Caenorhabditis elegans: one gene and its partner. The protein of the gene in region 2 interacts with the protein of the main gene of each other region in a pairwise test. Each region holds a gene or a part of one and is shown on either strand. Other genes may lie near its edges.

Evidence for each region.
Region 1: the proteins of nog-1 (region 2) and cfz-2 interact in a two-hybrid assay, tested with the Caenorhabditis elegans proteins (one study listed by BioGRID).

Annotation. Positions count from the first base shown.
Region 1 is NC_003283.11:3,440,960-3,446,631, reverse strand, and holds cfz-2 (Frizzled-2), read left to right. Parts: upstream 1-1,754; 5' UTR 1,755-1,756; coding exon 1,757-1,957; intron 1,958-2,609; coding exon 2,610-3,885; intron 3,886-4,478; coding exon 4,479-4,604; intron 4,605-4,658; coding exon 4,659-4,792; 3' UTR 4,793-5,128; downstream 5,129-5,672. UniProt on the Caenorhabditis elegans protein: Receptor for Wnt proteins.
Region 2 is NC_003282.8:392,198-397,108, forward strand, and holds nog-1 (Nucleolar GTP-binding protein 1), read left to right. Parts: upstream 1-1,682; 5' UTR 1,683-1,741; intron 1,742-1,819; 5' UTR 1,820-1,857; coding exon 1,858-1,908; intron 1,909-1,949; coding exon 1,950-2,555; intron 2,556-2,606; coding exon 2,607-3,764; intron 3,765-3,820; coding exon 3,821-4,051; 3' UTR 4,052-4,223; intron 4,224-4,347; downstream 4,348-4,911. Other genes in the region: uncp-18 (Syntaxin-binding protein 1), read left to right, coding at 109-359, 402-651, 699-841; T07A9.15 (Cytochrome c oxidase assembly protein COX14), read right to left, coding at 1,037-1,135, 1,188-1,292; rrp-8 (Ribosomal RNA-processing protein 8), read left to right, coding at 4,348-4,413, 4,467-4,911. UniProt on the Caenorhabditis elegans protein: Involved in the biogenesis of the 60S ribosomal subunit. Has a role in regulating longevity, growth and brood size. May regulate fat storage via the insulin/IGF pathway.

The sequences.
Region 1 (5,672 bases), on a different chromosome or scaffold from region 2:
AATTTTCTTTAATTTCAAAAACAAATTATACTTTCGAAAACTTGTTTTTGTATCGGAAAAATTCTAAATTTTTGTATAATTTATCAGTACATTTTTAATTTTTAATCAACTTTTCGTAGAGTCGGAACTTTTTTTCTAGTAGTTTTCAGGATTTGCGATTTTAAAATTAAAATTATTTGAAGGTTGTCTAACATGACCAAACATCAGTAAAAACACTACAAAAAATATAGATTTTTGAAAGATTCCAGTCAGTTTTCGTAAATTGCCAAATTTTTAAAAAATGTGTACCTTTTGGGAAATTTCCACAATTAATAAAAAAAACAATTAAAATATAAAAATTGAAGAAAAATATGCAATTTGTTCCAATTATTTCAGTGCATTAAGAAATTCCAAAAAAATTTTTTAAAAGCTTTTACTGTAATTTTTGGTCATTTTAAAAACACATGCCAATACTCTTTAAAATTTTTTTAAAAAAATAATTTCCGGTCGCATGTTCCGACCCCTACAATGTTTTAATACAAACAAATAAAACAAAATTAAAGTATGAAAATGTAGGGCAAAAAATTTATTTTGATCGATTTCCAAAATTATGAGTTTTTGCCTATTGAGTAATTGTCATTTTTTGCCAGTAAATAAAAAATTTTCAAAAAGTTTTTGAAACGTTTTATCTTAATATTCGGCTATTTTGGCACCAAGTCAGTAGTTTTAACACTTTCCCTACTGGCGCTACTCCACCTATAATAATTTCAGCCCTATCCACATCTCTAACCCATCCTCCATTCCACCTGTTGTTGCTCACAGTGGGGGTCACCTCCTCCTTTTAGCACCTTCCAAAATTTTCCAACTCCTTGCCAGCCACCACTTTGCCCTCCCCTATTTGCACACTCTTCTCTCCTCCCCCTTTCCATCTCCCCCAGCTCATTCATATATATGTACATAACTTCAGTAGTTGTTGGTTGGAGGTGGTAGAGTCAAAACATATCTCCTCTTTCTAGGCTCTTCTTATGCAACCTGACACCCCTTGAATTCCATTCGTGTTCCGTTTGAGACCCCTATGCTTGCACAACTAGGTTACATACCCCAGCACGTAACAAAATTCTCGTATCCTGAGCCTTATTTATTTCTCATTTTCATAAATTTGTATATTCTTTTTTCAGATTTCATCCCAGATCTAAATATAGAGAATTTAGCTAAAAACATATCTAATTTGATAAAGACCTTTCCGATATATCTTGGTTGGATATATTTTTCGAGTGCCTGCAAACACTCTCTCCACATATCCTCCACTATTTCCCGCAAAAAAATCGTTTCCCCTTACTGGTTTTTTGATGCTTTTGATGCTCTGTATGATGAAAAAGTGCTCTTTGGGTATCTCTCTCTCTCTTATATTTTTGATACCGATCCGATAGCTGATCACTGGATGTTAGGTCAAAGCTCTTGTGTGTATTGTGTCATGATAGTAGTAGTACTCGGTAAATAGTGATAAGCGATCACAGTTTTGCTACGTGGATATTGATTTTTTTGTGTTTTAACGGATCATTTTCTCTAAGAACTCCCGTAACTTGACACCGATCCTCCCTCCTCAGGAGGAAGCGCATCCTTTGTACTTTTCCTGTCTTCTTATTCTCCTCCACCTTCAGCTACTTAAATCTCAAATTTCATTTATCTTTTTTTTTGTTTTTCTTTTTGTTCTTTCCTTTTTCTTTATACCTTTTCTAATATCTTTAACTTCAAAATTAACATTTTATTTCTAGATATGCTACTCCGGATCAGCGTGCTGTTCCTATTGCTTGGCTCCTGTGGGGCTCTTTTTGGAAAACGTCAAAAATGTGAGCAAATCACAATTCCTCTATGCAAAGGTATTGGCTACAATATGACATCGTTCCCGAATAGTTATGGACATGAAAAACAGGAAGAAGCCGGATTGGAAGTTCATCAATTTTATCCGCTGGTGGAGGTGAGTTTTTTAAACAATTTTCTATGAGGAAATATTTTTTGCAATAATGAAAAAAACAAAAATTGAATATTGCACCACAAATTGAGAAATTTTGAATTTCGCGCTAAAAATTCGAAAGACACCAAATTTAGAATTTGCGCTAAATTGAAAAAAAAATTAACTTGGCGCTAAAATTTTCGAAAAAAAAATCCGAATATGAATTTCGCGCTGAAAATTTAAATTTTTCAGAATGAGTTTTGCGCCAAATTTTTGAAAAAACTCAACCCTAAATTTTAAATAAAATTGAAATTTTTATATCACACCAAAAATTTAAAAAAATCTGAATTTGAAATTTCCGCCAAAAATTTAAAAATTAAAATTTTAATTTGGCGCTAAAATTTAAACAAGATTATAAATTTAAATTTGTTATATACTAAAAAAATGTGAACCTTAATTTAGTGCCAAAGTTGTTGAAAAAAAATTAGATTTAAATTTTGAGCTAAATTAAATAAAATCCAAATTTAAATTTCGCGCTCAAAATTTGCAAAAACGCAAAATTGAATTAGGCTCTAAATTACGACAAATTCACAATTTTTTTCGCAAAAATCAAGAAAAAAGTAAATTTGAAAAACTTACCTTCTTCCAAAAATCAAAAAAAAATTTATATTTCCAGGTCGGTTGTTTCCAACATCTCAAATTCTTCCTCTGCACAATGTACACCCCGATCTGCCAGGAAAACTACGACAAACCAATTCTCCCGTGCATGGAACTTTGTGTGGAGGCACGCAGCAAGTGCAGTCCAATAATGGCCAAGTACGGATTCAGATGGCCCGAGACACTGTCTTGCGAGGCGCTGCCAAAGATGTCGGATCAGATGTCGACTGGGAACATCTGTGCAGCTCCACCAGATACACCAAAGAAGCAGCACAAGGGGCATCATCATAAGAATCAGAACCAGAATCAAAATCAAAATCATAACTATAGTCCAGATGGCCCAGAAGTCGGAATTTCCAAGATCGACAATGAAGTAATAGCCGGTCCCAGCGAGTGTCAGTGCACTTGTAACCAACCGTTCCAGTTTGTGGCATCTGAAAAGTCCAAAGTTGGAAATGTAACAAATTGCGCCTACTCATGCCATTCCCCAGCGTTGGCCGAGAGTCATAGCCTGGTGAGCAACTGGATGGCGTTCTGGAGCATCACATGCTGCGTGCTAGCCTCCTTCACATTCCTCACATTCCTTATCGAGACCGATCGATTCCAATACCCCGAACGTCCGATCTTCATGTTGGCATTCTGTCAGCTCATGGTTGCCGTCGGATTCATGATTCGATATTTCGTGGGCCACGAGGAGATCGCATGCGACTCGATGAGGATTAAGGGGGCTGATGATAACTCTGGATCCTTGTGCTTCGTCGTTTTCCTGCTCACCTATTTCTTCGGAATGGCTGCCTCGGTTTGGTGGGTGATCCTTTCGCTAACCTGGGTGCTGTCGGCCGCTTCAAAGTGGTCCCCCGAAGCGATTTCCTCGTTCTCATTCCATTTCCACGTGGTCGGATGGTGCCTTCCCGCTATTCAAACTGTATTGGTAATAGTTTTTAATGCGATCGATGGTGATCCGATAACTGGAATCTGCTACGTGGGAAATACTGATCTACAATTCCAACGAATCTTTGTGCTTTTCCCATTGCTCGTATATTTCATCGTTGGAGTTTTGTTCTTGGTAATCGGATTCTGCAATTTGTGGAGTATCAGAAACGAAGTACAAAAGCAACATCCTTCACTGGAGAGTGCCCATAAAATCACGCAGTTGATGAGCAAAATCGGGATTTTCTCATTGCTCTACACAATTCCATCGTTATTGATTATCTGTGTTCTATTCTACGAGCAGAATCATCGATCATTATGGGAGCAATCGCAGTTGTGCTCATGCTCGCCAAAGCAAACTATCGGTGAGTTTTTTTTTAAACTATAACAATTTTTGATCTAAATTTCCCAGTAAACATTTTTTTCACATTAAAAAATTTCAGTTGCTCGCTAAAATTGTTTTTAGAAAATTAAAAAACGAGTTTTCTAAAAATTTTCCCAAAAATTTGTTTAATTCCACCAAACATTTTTTCTCAAAAATTCAAATTTTCCGCAAACATTTTTTTAAAAATTTGATTTTACCGCCAATATTTTATTTCGAAAAAATTGAATTTACCGCCAAAAATATTCTCTGAAATTTAGAATTTCATGATAAAAATTATTCAAAAAGTTTAATTTTTCCGCAAAATTTTGCCTCAAAAATTGTGAATTTCTTTCCACATTTCCTTTTCAAAAATTCGAACTTCCAGCTAAAATTTTTCTCAGAAAAAAATTTAAATTTACTGTCAAAAAGTTTCTCAGAAAATTTGAATTTCCGCCAAATTTTTTTCCTCAAAAAATGTTAAATTAGTGTCAATAATTTTTTTTCAAAAATTTTAAATTTCTCGCCAAATTTTTTTTCTGAAATTTGAACCCCCCCCCCCCCCCCTATTATTCTTCATAAATTTTAAATTTTCAGGCGACTCCTCACTGATCATCTCCCTTATCAAAACTTGCTGTATGTGCATTTTGGGATGGACGTCCGGATTTTGGGTGTGCAGCACCAAAACTCTATCGTCGTGGAAAAATGCTATTTGCTGTTTGGGTAAGTTGAATCTAGCTTGAGTTTAAACAAGTTTTATTAATTTAATAATTTTAGGTTCCTCCCGATCTTTACCCAAATACCAACCGGCAGACATACTTTACGCTAAATCTGACATGTCATCCTCACAATTCTACAACACAAGTCTCCGACACAACCATCTTTACGGAGGCATTCCTGACAAGCTGTAGTGCTCAAGAAATGCATATTTAATATTTGTGATCCCCGCACATCTACCTCTTCAGGACCAACTTTCCACAATACTTGTAGTCGTTAAAATTAGTTTTTTCTCATGAGCTTTTACCTCTTCTTTCTCACCATCATCATCCCATTGATCTCAAGTTCCCGGCATTCTTTCTCAGTTTTTTTAAAAGAAAAGTTTTTGCAAATAATTTTAATATCACAAATTTAATAACTAAAAACAATGTTTTTGTAATCTTATTAGAGTGTTGTTTTTTGAATACTGCCTGTTCCTCTTGTCGAGCTTTCGGAATGTACATACCTAATAAATATTATTTTAATTGATGATTTTTTTGTTGAAAACATTTACGGTATATTAGAAGATTATTTCATGAATATTGTCAGTCAAGACACTTGTGTTCGATTGAAATTCACTTTAAATGGCAGAAAAACGACCGTCATGACCGAATAAACTGTTAAAAAGTTTTTAACATTTTTTTTGAATTTTGCCTATATCAAAATGTGGCCAAACTGAATTTAAATTCCCACGCAAATGAGTGACGTCATTTTTTATATTTTCGCGTTTTCTGGCTAAAATCATGATTTTTCTGGATTTTTTGTTCTAAATTTAATACATGTTTGTAAATTTTCAGACACTTTTCCAAAGAAAAAACATACAAATCATTTACTATATATAAAGCGCGTGTCCTTCTGTCCCTATGTAGTTTGATCTTTGATCTTTGGTCTTTGAACTCTGTAGTCTGTAGTTGGAAGAGGTATTGGGTTGGAAGTTGGTGATGGATAATGTCAAGGTACTGTAGTGGTACTGTAGGAGTACTGTAGGTATACGGTAGGGTTACTGTAGTTTAGGAAAAATTGAGTTTTTGTCTA
Region 2 (4,911 bases):
GGAGCGCATCCTTTTGAACTTAGCAAACAATTGTAGCGGCGCAAAAATCACATAATCTCGCGTATTTATAATAAACATTTAAACGAGAATTCACTGTCATCATTTCAGCTTTGGAGCAAGATATGGCCGTTGAGCATACGCCGGAACACGTACGTATCACGGATTCTCAAGCAGTTGGACGACTTTCCACGTTTATTTTACCAGCAATTCCGACTGAAACTCGTCTTCGATTGATTCTCATTTTTATGTTGACTATCGGAAAGGATAAAGATGAACAATACTTCAATCGACTTCTACATCACACCGATATTCCTGAATCGGAATTTCAGATTATTAAGAGAATGCTCATTTGGAGAGATGTCAGAGTCTTTTTTAAAATTGTATTCATCTTCTTTTTTCAGAAAACTCAGAAATCTCAATTCCAACATCGCCGACCACCACCAGAAGACGAGAGGTTTATCGCGAGTCGTTGGGATCCGAAAATCAAAAATCTTATCGAAGAAATTTACGAAAGACGATTGGACGAGCGGGAGTTCAAAGTAGCTGGTAAGAAATCGACGTCTGACTTCCGGCCGGCAGCAAGTGCGAGATATGGAAGTGGATTGGCTGGAAAACCACGCGAAAAACGAAAAATTATCATTTTTGTCGTAGGTGAGGTGATGTTTCGTTGATATATTCTGATTGGAAAGCATTTTCAGGCGGAATCACATATTCTGAAATGAGAGTCGCCTACGAGTTGTCGAAAAAGACGAACACAACAGTAATCCTGGGATCAGACGAAATTCTAACGCCGTCGTCTTTCCTGGAGTCGTTACGAGATCGAAATACTGTAAATTGCTGAAAATACTGTATTAATGTCCCCGAATATCGCTTTGTTTAAATAATATTCACAAAAAAATCTCGTTTTTCCATGTATATGATGCCATTTTCTATTTATCTCAAATAAACCACAGTTTCTATGAAAACAAAAACCTTCATTCGTAAATTATTAAGTCTCGTTACGTGGAAGTTGTAAAATCTATTTAAATTGCCTTTTCTATTGCCGAACAATTTTTCCGCGCGCCTGATTTTCTTTAAACCTCAAATAATCTTCCATTTCCTGATGTTGAAGTCGTGGAGCTGACATTGACCATTTCTAAAACAATAGAAATTTATCTTGAGACAAAATTGATTTTTTTTTAGCTCACCCGAATTTCCATAGCACCGGTATAGGCACAATACGCACCAGTTGTCACAAGCAAGAAAAGTCCAGAAGCGTAAGCATGAGCTCGAATTTTAGATGGAATTCTCATTTTTACGGATATTATGAGAGAAGGGAATCGAGGTTGCGTCAAAAATGTAGAATCGTTAAGAATTTACTCGGGTACGGTATGCAACGGTGTTTGCAGACTAGCAGGCTCATACACTTTCACGCGCAATTGCACACTTTAGGGTCATACGACTTATTTTCTCCATCAAATTTTCGTCAATTTTCGAATGTTTTAATATTTATTTGTGATTTTAATTCGTATATTCTGATAATTCTAAATTAAAAACTTATTTATACGGTCACATTAACTTATCGGCGAGATTAATGTTGCAGAAATTGGCGTTTCTTCCAGTTTAGGCCTAGAGTTAATTTTAAACAAATTTGCACAGTTTTTGTAGCGTTATTCTTTTATCATCTGTGTTAACAATTTCAGACGTTCATATGGAATTGTAAGGAATTTCAATCTCCGGAGAGGGGTCCTTCTGACACGGGGTATCTTGTTTTGTTCAATGTATTTCTTAATCCCTAACCTTTCACTTGTCATTTTCAAAACTTTACAACATATTTCAGAATCAAACAAGGGTTACACACAGTCGTCATTGCTCAAAATGACGTCGATGTATAATTTCAAGCGAATTACATGTGTTCCCAATGCACAGGTTTGTTCTTGTTCTGATCATTGAGAAGTTATATTTTTCAGGAACTGAAAGATGTGGTTCTCTCAAAAACGCAACGCAAAACACCAACCGTCGTGCATCGCCAATATTCGATTGGAAGAATCCGTGCTTTTTACGCAAGAAAAATCAAGTTCCTACAGCAAACTCTGCATGACAAGCTCACGCAAATCATCACAGAGTTCCCGAAAATGGAGGAAATTCATCCATTCTACTCGGATCTTATGAACATTCTCTACGACCGTGATCACTACAAAATCGCTCTTGGACAAATGAACACAGCTCGTCATTTGATTGACGGAATCGCCCGTGAATACGTTCGTTTGATGAAGTACGCCGACTCGCTTTATCGTTGCAAAATGCTCAAAAGAGCCGCACTTGGACGTATGGTCAAGCTGCTAAAGCGACAAAAGTCCAGCTTTGAATACCTCGAGCAGGTCCGTCAGCATTTGTCTCGCCTTCCAAGTATCGATCCAGCTACTCGTACTCTCATTCTTTGCGGATTCCCAAATGTCGGAAAGTCTTCATTCATCAACAATGTGACACGTGCTGATGTTGAAGTTCAGCCATATGCTTTCACTACAAAGGCTCTTTATGTTGGACATCTTGACTATCGTTTCCTCAGATGGCAGGTAAGTATTAAGCGAATTTCTTTTGAACCTTGATAATAATTCACTTTTCAGGTTATCGATACCCCCGGAATCTTGGATCAGCCACTTGAGGACCGTAACACCATTGAAATGCAAGCAGTTACCGCATTGGCTCATCTGAAAGCATCAGTGCTCTTCATGATGGATGTTTCAGAACAATGTGATCGTAGTATTGAGGAACAACTTCATCTCTTCGAATCGATCCGTCCATTGTTCGCCAATAAACCAGTTCTTATTGGTTTGAACAAGGTTGACATCAGACATCGATCTGATTTGCCACCAGAGAAAGCTGCATTGTTGGATCAACTGGAGAAGGAAGGAATTCCAATTATTGAGACATCTACACTTACACAAGAAGGAGTTATGGGACTCAGAGATCGTGCTTGCGATGAACTTTTGGCCCAGCGTGTTGAAGCTAAAATTCAAGCCAAGAAGATCACAAATGTCGAGGATTGTGTGCTGAATCGCGTATTCGTCGCCTACCCGGCTCCACGTGACGAGAAAGTTCGTGCTCCATTTGTTCCACCAGGTTTGGCCGCAAAAAGAGCTCAGAAGAAATTGCAAGAAGCTCAAGAGCTCATGGAGACTGATGGAGATGAGTTCGCAGCAAAAATTCCACAAAAACCAGGCAAAATTGGAAAGGAAAAGATTGCAAAGGGTGGATCCCAATCCACCGATCTTGGAGATCTTCGTGATGAGAACACCCGTCGTTTGGAGAGAGAAATTGAGTTGGAAATGCAAGATGATTATATTCTGGATCTTAAGAAACATTATATGCTGAAGAATCCTGATGAGAAGTACGATATTGTTCCCGAAATCTGGGAAGGACACAATCTTGCTGACTTTGTTGACCCGGAAATCCAGTCAAAGCTTGAGAATCTGCTTCGCGAAGAGGAGCTCTTGGAGCAAGCCGGAGAGTATGAATCAGATTTGGATAGTGATGATGAGGAGACCAAGGAGAAGTTGAAGCTTGCATTGCAAATCCGAGAAAAAGAAAAACTGTTGACTTTGGATCATGCCGTTAACAAGAGAATTGCCGGAAGAATTGGTTCACGTATTCATGGTTCAAGAAAGAGAGATCGATCAATGTCTAGATTAGAGAATGAGCTCGGAGAGTTAGGTGTAGATGTTGACACGAAGAAAATGAAGAACTTGCAAGGACAATGTGCCAAACCACAACTTGGAAAGAAGGTTTGTGTAGAACCGAAATCTATAATTTCGGTTTCAAATTAACATAATTTTTCCAGATGAAAGTGGGTCGCTCGCGCAGTCTCAGCGCCGTCCGTCCGGCTCCACGTGATGAGTTGGCATTCCCAGACGAGGAAAAACGTGCACATGTCGACAAGTTGCGTACGAAAGCAATGCGTGGATTGCGCCGAGAAGCCAAGAAGGGAGAAGCCGATCGTCACGTATACGACCTCAAGCCAAAGCATTTGTTCTGTGGAAAACGTGGAAACGGAAAAACCGATTGGCGTTAAGAACATATATATCTTTTGTTCATTTTTTTTTTGTTATTTTTGTTTTGTTATTCTGTTCGTTTTTTTTCGTCTCCCTGCTTTTTATTCCTTCCAAAAACTGTATACCCATCCATCCATTTTTACCTTCTTCTCACTGCGTCAATCGGCTTCTCGCCCACATGAGTTTCCCGAATAAAATTCTTCCTGATATTTTTGTAGATTCTGAATTATTTTTTTTCTTCGATATTGCACATTTTTTAGCATTCCGTTGAATTTTTCGCTGTATTAGAAAAACTATTTTTTAATTAACTCTTCAGATGGGCAAAAAAAGAAAGATTACGGATGAAAAGGATGCTCAACACGTGCCAGCTGAGAAACGAGAGGTTAATATCACATTTTCAAAGAAACGTAGTTCTCAAACACAAATTAATTGCAGAAAGTAGAAAATTGGTTAAAGAAATCTACGGAAAAACCAACAAGTTCACAATCTGACGCTGAAAAGAAAAAGAAACGTCCATGGCGTAATAAGGTCCGTAAACTTGCCGCAAAAAAGGCAGCAGCTGACAAGAAATCTGAAAATCCAGAAGAACCTCCGCTGATTCTCGAACCAAAGAGTTCTTCGGATGAAAATACGAAAAAGAAGAGAAAACGGGGCCCAAAAAAGAAGAAGTTCAAGCCCGAAGTTGCTGGAAAAGCTGCTGAAACTGAAAATGATGACGTGGCAGCAGCTCCAGAAGAAGCAGATCCAATTGCAGAGGCTAAAAAGAGACTTGACGCGGGACGATTCAGATTTCTGAACGAAAAACTCTATACATGTACTGGTTCTGAAGCATTTGATTTCTTCAAGGAGGATCCGACGGCTTTTGATCTATATCACAAGG